2 linked regions of the Stegostoma tigrinum genome follow. Each later gene encodes a partner of the first gene's protein in a complex. Links are inferred from orthologs where the notes say so. Each region holds a gene or a part of one and is shown in the gene's direction. Other genes may lie near its edges.

Evidence for each region. The genes of interacting proteins can lie anywhere in the genome.
Region 2: synrg (region 1) and aftiphilin-like share a complex: the UniProt entries of both Homo sapiens proteins name them as parts of the aftiphilin/p200/gamma-synergin complex. The link is inferred for Stegostoma tigrinum from reciprocal best matches to the Homo sapiens genes SYNRG and AFTPH.

The regions. Positions count from the first base shown.
Region 1 is NC_081380.1:33,746,579-33,754,490, reverse strand, and holds the start of synrg (synergin gamma), read left to right. Parts: upstream 1-4,901; 5' UTR 4,902-4,927; coding exon 4,928-4,995; intron 4,996-7,912. UniProt on the Homo sapiens protein: Plays a role in endocytosis and/or membrane trafficking at the trans-Golgi network (TGN). May act by linking the adapter protein complex AP-1 to other proteins. Component of clathrin-coated vesicles.
Region 2 is NC_081362.1:1,991,204-1,998,770, forward strand, and holds the start of aftiphilin-like, read left to right. Parts: upstream 1-4,549; 5' UTR 4,550-6,132; intron 6,133-7,567. UniProt on the Homo sapiens protein: Component of clathrin-coated vesicles.

The DNA.
Region 1 (7,912 bases):
TTCCACCGGGCAGAAGATTCAAAAGTTTGAAAACCTGTACTGATAGATTGACGAACAGCTCTTTCCCCACTGTTATCAGACTAATGATCAGACCTCTTATGCATTAGAGTTGATCTTTCTCTGCACCTTCTCTGTAGCTGTCACATTGTATTCTGCATTGTTATACTTTAAAGAAGGTTTGATTTGTCTGGTTAGTACAGAAAATAAATACTTTTCACTATATCTCAGTACATGTGACAATAATAAATCAAATCAAATTAAATCTTTCTTAATACATTTTATTCATCAATTGTGATTGGTCACCTTCATTTTTCCCACAGAATTGAAATATTTTGTGGGCATAAAAAAAATCCAATCTAAGAAGAAAGACAGGAGATGTTTCGACAATATTTCCATTCTGGCCATGTTTGTCCCTTAGTCAATATCACTCTCCCAGATAATTTGGTTATTATCATATTGCTGTTAGTGGGATCTTGCTGTGTGTGAAATGGCCTCTGCATTTCCAACAACAGTGACTATATTTCAACAGCATTTAACTGGCTTAAACACTTTGAGATGTATAGTATTTGTGAAACCTACTCTATCAATGGGGAGTTGATAAAACCACAAAAGCACCTATGCATATTATTGCATCCTCACTCCCCTCATCATCTGTACCCAGCCACTCCATGGAAGCAACTGATCCCATCAGCAGTCTTAATTCCACGGTAAAATTGAAAGGCCCACTTATGGAATCCCAGTTTTTCTGGAAAGACTATTCTCTGGTGAACAACTCTGGTTTTATGCTCACAGGACAAGTTCACTGAATCTTACAACTTAATGTTGTGGGTCTGTCAGCCAACAAGTCTCATTAGATGTCATTCCACCCAAAACCCCTTTTAACATCATTTGCCTAGAACTGACCCATACTGGAGCTGAGGAAGGAGTTTTTTTTATTACAGCAATGATTTTAACCTACATTACTACTCCCCTTATGCTAAATACAGTTGTACCAGAAGACCATAAGACGTAGAAGCACAATTCGGCTATTGGGTCAATAGAATCTGTTCCACCGTTCGGTTATTCCTGATAGCTTTCTCAAACCTATTGTCCTGTCTTCTCCCTGCTACTCTTGATCCCCTCCCTTTTCAATCAAGAACCAGTCTACTCCCTCTTAAAGACACACAATGATTTGGCTTCCACAGCTGTCTGTGGCCGTGCGTTCCACAGAATAACCACCCTCTGACTGAAGAAGTTCCTCCTCATCTCAATTATAAAGAGTAGTCCCTTCACTCTAAGACTGTCCTACTAGTGGAAACAACTTCTCTACTTTCACTCTATCAGGCCTCTCAGTATTCTGTAAGTTTCAAGATTCCCTCCCCCATCCTCCTAAAAGCTATTCAACATTGCCAATGAAGCCCGTCTTGACATCACCCAAGTTCTGGTATACAATTCAGGTTGGCAGTTTTTATCCTGCAAAAATGTCAAAGTTTGTCTCCAAGTGTAAACATCTCCAAGTGCCAGCTGGGAACAGCAAGTTCTGCTAATACTGCCAGCTTTGTGGGAGATTTCAACAGCCATTGCAGTGTTTAGGATTACTCAGTGTCAGACGGTGATGGTAAGCAGCTCCCACAGTACACCTCCAGAAACAATCTTATCCTGATACATCACCTGAAACAACAGGGAATGTTCTATTCAGCCGGACGCAGTTATAACTACTCACCTGACTGGGTGGTGGCTCTGATCATTTAATGGATTTCCTCACCAGCAGAGTGTCCAGTTCTGGACAACTCCCCACAGAGTCAACACAGGGGACCACTCATACACAATGTTCGCTATCTTCCACTTCTCTACCATTGCATGGAAGATTTGATAGTTCTTCTGTAAAGCAGATTGGTGAATATACAGTGGGGCTTTGGGCAGCACAATGACTCAGCAGCTAGCACCTCTGCCTCACAGCGTCAAGGACCTGGGTCTCATTCCAGCCTGGGGTGACTGTCCTTTTGGAGTTTGTACATTCTCCCTGTGTCTGTGTGGGTTTCCTCCCACAGTCCAAAGATGTGCAGGTTAGGTTGTCTGGCCATGCTAAATTGCTCTGTAGTTTCCAGAGATGTGTAGGCTAGATGCAGCAGCCATAGTAAATATGGAGTTAGAGGGACTGGGTGAGGGACTGGGTCTCGGTGGGATGCTCTTCAGACGGCAGTTGCAGACTCAGTGGACTGAATGACCTCTTCCCGCACTGTGGACATTCTATGATATCATTGTTATCATTTATCATATATGTTATTTAAAACTATGCATAAGATGCCTATGGGAGAATTAAATAAGGAGTTTTGTGGTGCCTTTCACAAAGCTGCTTGTATCAGCCTACCTTTATCCCATGTCTTGATAAGAGAATTCAGTGCCCCTAAAGCAATGTGAATCACTTGGTGACCCTGATAAACAGACCAAGACAGGGTCCCTTGATACTGCGCATCACCCCAGAAAGGAGGGAATGATAGGAGGGTTCACTTTCACTCAGTGCAGTCCCAAGTGCTGGAACCTCATTGGGTACCTTGGAGCAGCCATAAAGTAACCCGCACCAACTTGACTATCAATCACCCTGAACCATGTTGCTAGATACCTACTCCATGTAGCAAGGACTCTGTTGGAAGCTGAACAAGACACTAATCTGCAAAGAATTGGAAAAAAACAATGCCAACAAAATGCAGAGCATGGCTGTCCTGACCCCTTCACGATCACAGAACTTGCAAAGTAAAACAGTGAGATATGACAACTTTGCACCAAAATTTTTAAGACTTATGTCCACTGTGCTAATGCTTGATTTACTTAGCTCTCCACAAGAATCAAACTTATTCAAAAAGGTGCAACAATGAAAAAGTCATTCCAAAATATAGAAAAGATCTCAGCTATTAACTGATTTTGCTACATTTTTGCATGTTTTCGATCAATGAGTATCTTGTCCTCTGATGCATGTCTCCAGAAGGATAGACCATCCTGGATGTCAACCAAGCTGGTTTCCATAAGTGGCACAGCACATGTGATCAGCTTCTGACACCCACCAGATACAACAGTTCCAAAAGACCATGAAGACAGGTACACTGCTACTAGACCTTACAGCTGCCAAAGTCACAGAGTGGACTGCTCCTTAAACCATCCAGAGTTCTTCTAACCTGGTCAGGACCATTGTTAAAACACTCCTTCACAAGAGGCAATTTGGAGTGAGGAGGTAGTAGTGTTTTGGTAATGTCACTGGACTAGTAATTCAGTAATCCAGATTCTAATGCTCTGGGGACCCAGTCAAGGCTAGAATGTAGGAGCAGGGATGTTGAACTGCTGAGGCTGAATAAGGCTCTGGCCAGACCACATTCGGAATGTTGTGAGCAGTTTTGGGCCCCATAACTTAGGAAAATATGATGGTCTTGGAGGGGTTCCAGAGGAGGTTTGCAAGAATGATCCCAGGGATTAACAGCTTGTAAAATGAGGAGCAGTTCAGGAATCTGGTCTGTGCTTAGTGGAGTTTAGAAGGATTGGAGGGTTCTAATTGAAACTTACAGAACACAGGCCTGGATAGAGTATATGTGGAGAAGATGTTTGCACTATTAGGAGAGGCCAGGACATGAGGCACAGCCTCAGGGTGAAGGAATGACCCTTTCAATTCTGTGCAACTCATTACTGTGGAGGCCAAGTCATTGTACCTATGGTATTGAGGAACATATCGGCCATGGCTGAATGGTGGAGCAGATACAATGGGCCAATTGGCCTGATTCTGCTTCCATATTTTACGGTCTTATGTATTTGAATATGAACATGGTGAAATTTAAATTCAGTAAAAAGATTGTGATTAAAAGCTAACCTGATTGTGACATATAAGCACAATTGATTGTTATACAAACCCAGCTGCTTCACTAATGTAAAATAGAAAAAGAAATCTGCCATCATTACCTGGCCTGGCCTACATGCACTCCAAACTAACACAAATAATATGACTCCTAACTAATTTTTAAAGCATCTAGCTAGCTTTTAAGTTCCATGGCAATTAGAACAGAGAATATAGAACACTACAGCGCAATACAGGCCTTTGGCCCTCGATGTTGCGCAGACCTGTGAAACTAAACTGAAGCCCATATAACCTACACTATTCCATTCCATTAGGATTGGGCAATAAATGCTGGCCTAGCTAGCAATGCCCACTTCCTATGAACGAATGAAAAAAAATCACCTTGGACAAGGGAGAAATGCATGGAGACATCTGGCCAATGGATACCGCATGGCTCAGTGTTAATCTAATCCTTTTCATACAACCTATCAACAACCGCATCTTGCAAGTTCAACGATGCTGTAACTTCTGTTGTGCCATCAAAGTCTATCCTCTGCATCCTGGATCAGATTCTTAACAAAGATACCACTCTATCAAAGTCTTTCTCAATTTTAATTTTCTTGCATTTTCATATATTCAATTTTCCTGTCCAGCCCAGACCATGCCACAGCACCAAGAACACACAATTGCAAAGATTATGTTTCGCTTTAGTAAGAATAGGGGCTGTCTTTGGTTGGGATGTTTGAAAACGTAACCATGCATCATTCCGCCTGATTGAGAGAAAATAATGAAGCAGGAAGGGGGAAAGGAGGCAGCTGTTCCCCCTCCCACCCAAAGGAATAAGAAATAATATAAAATAAAACAAAGAACTGCGGATCTTAAGCATAACCTGCTGGAGCCTCTCAGCAGATCTGTGGGGGAGGAAACAGGATTAACATTGCGGGTTCAATGAAAGAGTGAAAGATGACAGTGAGTTGTATTCAGAGAAATTGAAAGTGCCTGGGGAATGTTGCAATGAGCCTAGCCCAGTCAGGTTGATACAGCTGGTGACAGGTGACTGGGCGTTGACCTTTTGTGGGGGAAGGAGACCCGGAAGTAGTTACTGGTTGACAAGGAGCCGAATCAAAGATGGCGCTGCGACCAGGCGGTGGCGGCGGTGGTAGCAGCAGCAATGGCACTGGCGGTAACGGCAGTGGGTAAGTGTAGAAACATCGACTTTCCTCGTTTCTTTATTGGTATAATTATTATAAATGGTGAACGAAATCAGGAGATGATTTATGAATGGCTGGGCGGCCGGCTCGATTCATCGCGGAGCCGGTGGCCGCCTCTCTGCCTTTAAGATGATGCTGAGCAAATGGGGTTAGTCTGGGTCAGTGAGCAAGAGCCCGTTTCCCTCCCTCCCTCTGCCTTCACGCACACACACTTTAATATTTACCATCTGATAGCCTAGATACCACCGGACAACTCTTACTTCTGATTATCTGATCTTTTAAATTATATTTCCATTGAGTCGATTGTTTCCTTTATAAATGGGTAAAGGCTGATCTCCGCACGATTTTATTTTACGTTTTAAACTTTCTTCTCTCTCTTACCCCTCCCCTTCCACTTTAATTTTGTGTTGATCCGTTTTATTTTTCTAAAAGTAAACCTTAGGTGGATTGTTGCCGAATGGAAGTACACGCAGATACCCCTTTCCCCTTATTTTGAGCCTGTGAAGTTCTGCTGTCTGAATTGAACGGGAAGCTGCACACTGAATAATTCATGTTCCCTGAAGGAGATCGTGCTTCATGTATCTTTCATCTCACCCTATCACCTTTCATCTGACCCAGCTAAATTAGGTGGACGTTTCTTGATCGAATTCGATCTTCAAAAAAAAATTGAATTGTAATTCCCTCTTTCTGTATCTCGTGTGTTGTCGGGCAATAAAAGTATTCATAAACTCCCTTAATGTAGCTGCAATGATCTTTGCAGTTTGCAGTATGCCAGTAAAAAGGCAAGGGGGTAAATGAGCTTTGATATTATTTCACTTCCCAGTGAGTGTGTGTATGTGTAGGAAAAGAATAATTATACTACTTGTACTCAGCAGATTTGGGTGTACCTTACTTTTAATTTTAGGCACACCTGGAATGGAAAAAGTTGACTTTGTGGGCCTTTTGGTCTCTGCCATGTATTCTGTTTTGTTGCATTGGTTGGTATTAAAAATTAACATTACAAGAATTTGCAAGTTGTGATACTTTGAAGGCTGTTTAAAGTTGCTGACCTTTTTACATGTGTGCAATAGTGGCAAACTATTTAGCACAGTACTTATGGCTTTGAATAATTACCCCACTCCCCACTATCTCCAGAAAAAAAGACTGCTGAGTAACTGCAGTAGATTCCAAAGTTGACCAAATAATCTTGTGATGATTGAATACTTGATTTTGTCCTTACTCTCCCCTCTGCAGGCATGTTATGATTCGATCTGTAATTTGTGTTACTTGTCAATCAAGTAGATGAATTTTACTATCTTAACTTTGACGCATAACGAAAGTTGACAAGTACTTGATTGAGGGTTGCTAAAAAAATTTTTCACTTCCTCAATATATTTAATGTTTTAAGAATTCCTGTTAAATGTGACTGTTATTTAAAATGCAGGACTGGCAGCTTAATGTTCCAGGGTATAGATGCTATACGAAGGATAGAAAGGTGGGCAAGAGAGAAGGGGGTTAGCGTTGTTCGTTAAAGAACATTGCATTTGACCTAGGGAGGATATTCCTGGGAGAATGTCCAGTGATCTTATATAAGTAGAACTGAGAAATCAAGGGATGATCACCTATTTGGGATTGTACTGTAGGATCCCAAATAGTCAGTGGGAAACTGAGAAGCAAACATGTAAGGGGATCTCAGATATCTGTAAGAATAATAGGCTTGTAATGATAGGGGATTTTAACTTTCCAAACATTGACCGGGGCTGTTGTTAAGGGCTTGAATGGAGAGGAATTTAAGTGTATACAAGAAAACTGTATTACTCGATATGTAGATGTACCTATTACAGAAGGAGCAAAACTTGACCATCTCTTGGGAAATAAGATAGGGCAAGTGACTGAGATATCAGTGACAGATCACCTAGGGGCCATTGATCATAATTTTATTCATTTTAAAATAGTTGTGACAAAAGATAGAACTGATCTAAAAGTTAATGTTCTAAATTGGAGTAAGGCCAATTTTGATAGTATTGAGTAGGACCTTTCAAAAGTTGACTGGGGAAAGCTGTTTATCGGCAAAAGGTATGGTTGGAAAATGGGACACCTTCAAAAATGAGACCACGCGAGCTCAGAGACAGTATGCTCCTGTTAGTGCGAAAGGCAAGGCTGGTAGGTGTAGGTAATGCTGGATGACTGGAGAAATTCAGGGTTTATTCAAGAAAAAGAAGGAGGCATATGTCAGATGTACTTATCTGAGATCAAGTGAATACCTAGATGAGAATAAAGGCTGTAGAACTATATTTAAGCGTGAAATCGAGAAGCCAAAAGGGGGACATGAGATAGCGTTGGCATGCAAGGTTAAGGAGAATCCAAAGATTTTACATATGCATTAAGGAGAAAAAGTGACTAGGAAGACAAAGGTGATCCTTAAAGATCAACAAGGCTGTCTGTGTGGAGCTGAAGGATATGGGTGAAAAGCTAAATGAATATTTCATTTCAGTATTTACTGTGAAGAAGGACATGGAAACTAGAGAACTTAGAAATAAGTAGTGATATCATGAAAAGTGTCCATATTACAGAAGAGGAGATCTGAAAGATCAGCATAAAGATAAATCAATCCCTGGGACCTGATCACGTGTGCCCCAGAACTTCATGGGAAGCGAGGGTAGAGATTGCTGGGCCCGAACTGAGAGACTTATATCATTGACGGCTATGGGTGAGGTGCCAGAAGACTGCAGGCTGGTCAATGTGTCATTATTTAAGAAAGGTGGTAAAGAAAAGCCAGGAAACTATAGACAAGTGAGCTTGATGTCAGTGGTTGGTAAATAAATGGAGTGAATTCTGAGGGACAGAATTTACATGCATTTTGAAAGGCAAAGACTGTTTAGGACTAATCAACGTGGCTTTGTGTGTGGGAAGTTGTGTCTCA
Region 2 (7,567 bases), on another chromosome or scaffold:
TTCCATTCGTGGAACGTGAGCATCACTGGCTAGGCCAGCACTTATCACCTGTCCCCAGTTGCTTCTGGGAAAGTGGTGATGAGCTGCCTTCCTGAACCACTGCTGTATATGTGCTGTAGTTAGCCTCACAATGCCCTTAGAGAAGGAGTTCCTGGATTCTGACCCAGTGACAGTGAAGGAACGGTGATGTATTTCCAAGTCAGATGGTGTGTGGTTTGGAGGGGACCTTGCAGGGGGCGGTGTTCCCATGTATCTGCTGCTCTTGTCCTTCAAGGAAGAGACTGTGGAATTGGAAGGTGTTGTCTGAGTAAGGATCTTTGGTGAGTTTCTGCAGTGCACCTTGTAGATGGTACACACTGCTGCTACTGAGTGTTGGTGGTGGATGGAGTGAATGCTTGTGGATGTGGTGCCAATCAAGAGGGGGCTGCTTCACCCTGGATGGTGTCGAACTTCTTGAGTGTTAGAGCTGCACCCATCCAGGCAAATGGGGAGTATTGCATCACACTCCTGATTAGTGCCTCGTAGCTGGTGAGCAGGCTTTGGGGAGTCTGGTGAGTTATTCACTGCAGAATTCATGGACCTGCTCTTATAGCTACTACATTTATCTGGTTAGTCCAGTTCAGTTTATAGAGTCATAAAGATGGACATTGCAGAAATAGACCCTTCTTTCCAACGCGTCCATACCAACCAGACTTCCTAAATTAATCTAGTCCCATTTGCCAGCACTTGGTCCAAGTCCCTGTAAACCCTTTCTATTCATGTACCCATCCAGATGCTTTTTCAATGTTGTAATTGTACCAGCCTCCACCACTTCCTCCGGCAGCTCAGTCCATACACGCACCACCTTCTGTGTGAAAACATTTCCCTTTAGGTCCCTTTTAAATCTTTCCCCTCTCACCTTAAACCTATGCTCTCTAGTTTTGAACACCTTAACCCTGGGGAAAAGGCCTTGGCTATCCCTATCCATGCCCCTCATGATTTTATAAACCTCCAGAGGGTCCCCCCCTCAGCCTCCGACGCTCCAGGGAAAATAGCCCCAGCCTATTCAGCCTCTCCCTGTAACTCAAACCCTCCAACCCTTCTGCACCCTGTCAACATCTTTCCTATAGGAGGGAGACCATAACTGAATGCAGTATTCCAAAAGTGCCCTGGCCAATGTCCTGTACAGTTGCAACATGACCTCCCAACTCCTATAGTCAATGCACTGACCAATAAAGGCAAGAGATGGGGTTAGGGATGTGGTCAATGCTAACCCCCAGGATGCTGATAGTGGGTGATTCAGTGATGATAACACCATTCAGTGTTAATGGGTGGTGGCTAGATTGTTTCTTATTAGAGACAGTCATTACCTGGCATTTGTGTACTACGAATGTTGTTTACCACTTTTCAGACCAAACTTGGCTATTGTCCAGATCTTGTTGCATTTGAACTGGAACTGCTTCAGTATCCGAGGAGTCACGAATGGTGCTGAACATTGTGCAATCATCGGCGAACATCCCCACTTCTGACCTTATGATGGAGGGAAGGTCATTGATGGAGCAGGTGAAGATGGTTGGGCCTAGGACACTATCCTGAGGAAGGAAACCTAAACAGATAAATAGAAAGTGGGACATAACACCAGCGCTTCGTCGGAGGCTCACTGATGATGTTACCTAGAATGGTGACAAAACGTCTGAAAACTAACCTTCCAGCTCAGTGAGCAAACTTACATCCAGAACTATCCTGAGGAACTTATTCAGAAATGTCCTGGAGCTGAGATGACTGACCTCCAATAACCACAACCATCTTCTTGTGTGTTAGGTATGACTCTAACCGCTGGAGAATTTTCCCCTGATACCCATTGAATCCAGTTTTGCTCGGGCTCCTTAATGCCCACTTGGTCAAATGCAGCCTTGATTTCATGGTTGTCACTCTCACCTCACCTATGGAATTCAGCTCTTTTGCCCATCTTTGAACCAAGGCTGTAATGAGATCAGGAGCTGAGTGGCCCTGGCAGAACCTAAACTGGGCATCATTGAGCAGGTTATTTCTGAGCTGGTGCTGCTTGATAGCTCTGTTACTGACACCTTCCATCACTTTACTGATGATCGAGAGGCGACTGATGGGCCGGGAATTGGTCGGGTTGGATTTGTCTTGTTTTTTGAGGTGAGGACATACTTGGGCAATTTTCCACATTGTCGGGTTGATGCTGATGTTGTAACTGTACCAGAACAGCTTGGCTCGGGGAGTGTCAAGTTCTGGAGCACAAGCCTTCAGTACTGTTGCCAGAATGTTGTCAGGGCCCACAGGCTTTGCAGTATCCAGTGTCTCCAACCGTTTCTTGATATCATGTGGAGTGAATCAAATTGGCTGAAGACTGGTACCTGTGGTGCTGGGGACCACTGGAGGAGGCAGTTCTGGCTGAAGATTATTGCAAATACTTCAGCCTTATGTGTTGCTGGGCTCTTCCATCTTCCCTGCTCTTACTGATGACATCAACATCCTGAGAGATCAGCTGCCATTGACAGTTGCCCTCATTACCCCTTGTCCATTGGCTGGAGCTTTTCTGGGGCATTGAGAACGTTGAACATGAGAAGAAGACTCTTCAGGTGTGTGATGTTGGGGGGGGGTGCGTTGCTGCACTGGGGCAGTGTCTATCTTGACTATAACTTTCCTCTCCTTTTCATTGCTACATTTCAGTAAAATTTTCCAACGTGTGCCTCAGAAATGCTGGACATCATCCAGATTGAATTTGTTCACCTTACCCTATGTGTCTTGAACATTTGTGAAGCGAAGTGACTTCTTGGGCTGGAACAAGAAACGGCAGCCTTTCAGTGCTGCAGAGAACAGCAGTGTCATGTTCATCACTTCAGCTTGCACTGTTACCCATTTCAACTTTAAACAGCAAAGTGTCACTTGACAGCAGGAGGTTTAACAGTCCCATTTCATTCACCTGGGAAAGTGTTTTCTGATATATCCTTGTTCAGGCCTTGGGAGGATAGCTTTGTAGCTGACCATTTGTCGCTGCAGTTTTAACCTGCAGCTTCTTCCCCACAAAACCTTTTTTTAATGTCAAAAATATACTTTATTCATGAAAATATCATTATATACATACATGGCCACTAAGGCAGTTCGGTTCTATACAGTAGCATATGAAGAAACAAACAAACATTGAAGTTTAACTCTATCCAGCGGTCAGACCAAATCCTGTATTTGTAGAGGACCAAATTTATTTATATTGGAGGTGCCAGGAGGGACTGATAACTGAACAGACCCCCTTTAACTTCAGCAGAAAGACCTCAGACAGTGGTCTTTCCCCAATGCCCCTTGGCAGCAGTTGCCCCAAGCTTTAGTGCATCCCTCAGCAGGTATTCCTGTACAATGGAATGTGCCAGTCTGCAACACTCGGTTAAGGTCAACTCCTTGCTCTGGAAGACCAACAAGTTTTGGGCGGATCAAAAAGTTGATGGTCCTACAGGCACAGTCAAAGTTTCTCTCGGTGTGTATCCTGGGGAACATTCTGCAGAGCACAGAGCCCTGCATCATGGAGCTGTTTGGGATGAACCTCGAACCCGCTCCGTCCTTGCTAATTGCAGAGAAGGCAATGCTACAGCTTATTTTGAATGGGTGCAGTTCTCCATCGGTGTGGGTGAACTCCTTGTGACTCAGATTGGGTCAAAGGTGGGATCGTTCTGTGCTTGAACCAGTACAACACATCTCCTTTGCCATCAGGAAAGGCAGCCAGTCTCATCCTTTTCTTCACTGGAGAGAATTCCCACTCTTCACAATCATTGGCCATCTCAATGATGGAATCTGGCACTCCTTACTGATGTCCAGTTTTCACTCGCTGCATCCTCTTCACTTTGTCTCTGATTAACAGTGCCGGCCACCATTCTCTCAGGCTTAGCTATTCTGTGTCGGATGGTCTCATACTCGCTGATAGATCATGGATAACAGTTCCCTGTGAGTGTACTGGAGCATGGTCTAAATCCGCTCTGTTTGGTTGGAGCAGTGGTGTGACAAGTTTTTGTGCCTTCGGTTATTCTGGAGTTAGGATCCTGGAATTTCAGTTTATTAGGGGCCTCCTATTTATCCAGTGGGAATAGCTGGTACCTTCGCGATAACTGAAAACTCACGTTTGTCCCAGTTTGACTTTTCACAATCTCCCTTTGGAAAGTTTCCTTTTCTGTTGTCGTGGGTTCTTGGATCAATGCAATGTCTTTGTTTTCCATCACTTGGGGAAATAAGATTATGGTTACCATGGAGACAGGTGAACCAGTCAGCCAAGAAATTGCTTCCTGTTTGTTCCTGATACAGTTTACCGAAACGTTTTATTTCTAGAATGAACAATGAAGGAAGGCTGTCAGTTCGGGCACAACCTGATGGTCAGAGCTGATTGAATTATTCATTAAAGCTCTGAGATTGTGTTTCTATATACATATAAAACACATCCTGGATTGTACAGTGAGGTTATCACTGCTGGGACACGTGCTTCTTCATCTACAGCCAGCAGCAGCTGGCAGCACCAACACAGAATCCGCTCTGTCCCAGCTGGCAGCACCAGCAGAAACCCCGCTCTGTCCCAGCTGGCAGCACCAACACAGACCTTGCTCTGTCCCAGCTGGCAGCACCAGCAGAAACCCCGCTCTGTCCCAGCTGGCAGCACCAACACAGATCCAACTCTGTCCCAGCTGGCAGCGCCAGCACAGAACCCGCTCTGTCCCAGCTGGCAGCACCAGCAGAAACCCCGCTCTGTCCCCGCTGGCAGCACCAACACAGAACCCCGCTCTGTCCTAGCACCAACACAGACCCCGCTCTGTCCCAGCACCAACACAGACCCCGCTCTGTCCCAGCTGGCAGCACCAGCACTGATCCCGCTCTGTCCCAGCTGGCAGCACCAGCACAGACCCTGCTGCGTCCCAGCTGAGCACCAGTAGAGACCCCACTTTAGCCCATCTGAAGACCAGCAGAGGCCCCGCTCTGTTCCAGCTGAGTATCAGCACACACTCAGTGAGAAGCTTGTTGTAGTTCATGCCCTTTCTCCAAGCCTCTGGGTAAGAGCATGCAGACCAATGATGGCTCAAGGACACGGGATACCATCCCCCCAAGGTCTGAGTGTACAACACCAGGACACACTGCCACTTTGGTAATGTTATTCCTGCCTCCCACAGAGCCTGGAATGATCTGATACCACTCACAAGAAACAACCATCCATCAAACTCCTTAAACATTTGTCCACAGGAGACGACAAATCAGGAGATGCGGAATTGAACTGTCTGCAAGTCCACCTCCTCTAGCCTCAATAACCTCCTCACGGAAGAATACAGCAGGCACCGTACTAACCTGGTCCTCAATAAAACCCACACTTACCCCTCGAGCTCTGAATAGTTGTGTAATGGTGTGGGATCCATCGGGTATGTAGCTGAATGTTTACAACAAGGTGGTAGACACTCCTTGCAATTCTTGTAACATGAGGATGTGTGTAGATTTCTGTATGACTGAGAACAACAGCAACAATCTTCATTTATATGGCACCTTTAACATCTGTGACTGCATCCCTACTAATCCATCTCAAGGACCATCGGAGGAAGAATCAACAAGCAAAACCTGACCCTGTGTCACAAGGGGTGATATTAGGACAGGTGACCCAAGCTCAGTCAGAGAGGTTAAGTTGAAGGAGTGTTTTGAAAGTGGATAGAGAGGTAGAGGGTGGAGAGGGTTAGAGAAAGAAGTTGAGAGCTCAGGGCCCAGGCAGCTGCTGGTGGTTGGACGATTGAAACAGGGTAATATCACAGACAGACTGCAAACAAGAATAAGAATTTTAAAATTGAATGAGTACCCTGTCCACTTCTTCCCCAATGCCTGGCAGGTTTTTACTTTCAATGGTGTATCCAATACCCTTTTGAAAGTTAATATTGAATCTGGTCCGTCCTCTTTCACACAACACACTCTAGATTACGACAATGAGCTCTGTGAGATGACATTTCCCCACTGCCCCTAGCAGCTGGCCACCTTGGGAATGAACATATGACAGTTCCCTTTGTTTTTGTTCATTAACAGGATGAGAGTTTAACTTCTCAGGCCGGCATTTATTACCCACACACCAGAGGACCACATTGCTGTGTGTCTGCAGTTACATGGAGGCCAGACCAGGTAAGGATGGCAGTTTCCTTCCCTAGAGGGCATTTATGAACCAGATAGGTTTTATTCCCCAACAATCAGCAGTGAATTCACAGTCACCATTCGACTCTCAATTACAGATTTTTTATTGAATTCAAATTCTACTATCTGCTATGGTGGGATTCGAATCCTGGTGTTCAGGACCTTATCTGGGTCTCTGGATTAACAGACCAGTGACAATACCACTAGGCCATTGCCTCCCACTGTCCCCATCGCCCCCTGGTTACTGACCCTCCTGCTGCTTGATACACTTTTGAGTTTTGTTATCAGAGGTGGACAGCTGTCCTGTTGAAATGTGCACTCAGTCGGCAACACATTGATTGATCTGCTGGGGTGCTCCATCCCTTTCTTTTGTTTCACGTTTCTGAACATCTGCCACTTGTACTCAATGAAAAAATTACTGTTTAACAAATACAATGACTTAGCAATAAATAAACATTAACACCTGAACTAAACTGTGTGAAAAAATGCCCTTTGTTAATACATTTTTGAAAATTATGTAACTGTTGATATGTTTGCAGCCAGTCTGTTGTTATGTGAGAGAATTAATAATCTGATACATTTAAATTTGTAAAATAAATGATGTGTTGCGGTATGTGATGATTAAATACACACTCTATATGTCATCATCTCACTTCAACGTACAGCGTTATAAAAGTGTAGGCTGACTCATATTATCGTTGTTTAAATCAAACCCAACCTCTGCCCATGACCTGCTGAAACACACATTCCTTGTTATATCTAGACAAGGTGATTGTAAGGTTCCCCGGCTAGATCCCATTCTCTGTAAAATTCAGCACTGCCTCTTTGTCCAAACTTGTTGCCAAGTCACATTCACCCATTCCCTCTCTGCTAACTGACCAACATTGACTCTCAGTTCCAGCCTTTGCAGTATCCAGCATCTCAACCATTTCAAATTGGCTGAAGACTGATAGTTGCATTGCTGGGAATGTCTGGAGAAGGCCAAAATGGATCATTCGATCAGCATTTCTGGTTGACGGTCACTGTGAAAGCTTCAGCCTTATCTTGGAGGCTCAGCGCTGAGGGAGTGCTGCACTGTCGGAGGGTCAGTGCTGAGGGAGTGGGCGCTGTCAGAGGGTCAGTACTGAGGGAGTGCTGCACTGTTGGAGGGTCAGTGCTGAGGGAGCGCCGCACTGTCGGAGGGTCAGTGCTGGGGGACCGGGCAATGTTGGAGGGTCAGTGCTGGGAGTGCCACACTGTCGGATGGTCAGTGCTGAGGGAGTGGGCACTGTTGGAGGGTCAGCACTGAGGGAGCGGGCACTGTCGGAGAGTCAGTGCTGTGTGAGCGCTGCACTGTCGGAGGGTCAGCACTGAGGGAGTGGGCACTGTCGGAGGGTCAGTGCTGAGGGAGTGGGCACTGTTGGAGGGTCAGTGCTGAGGGAGTGCC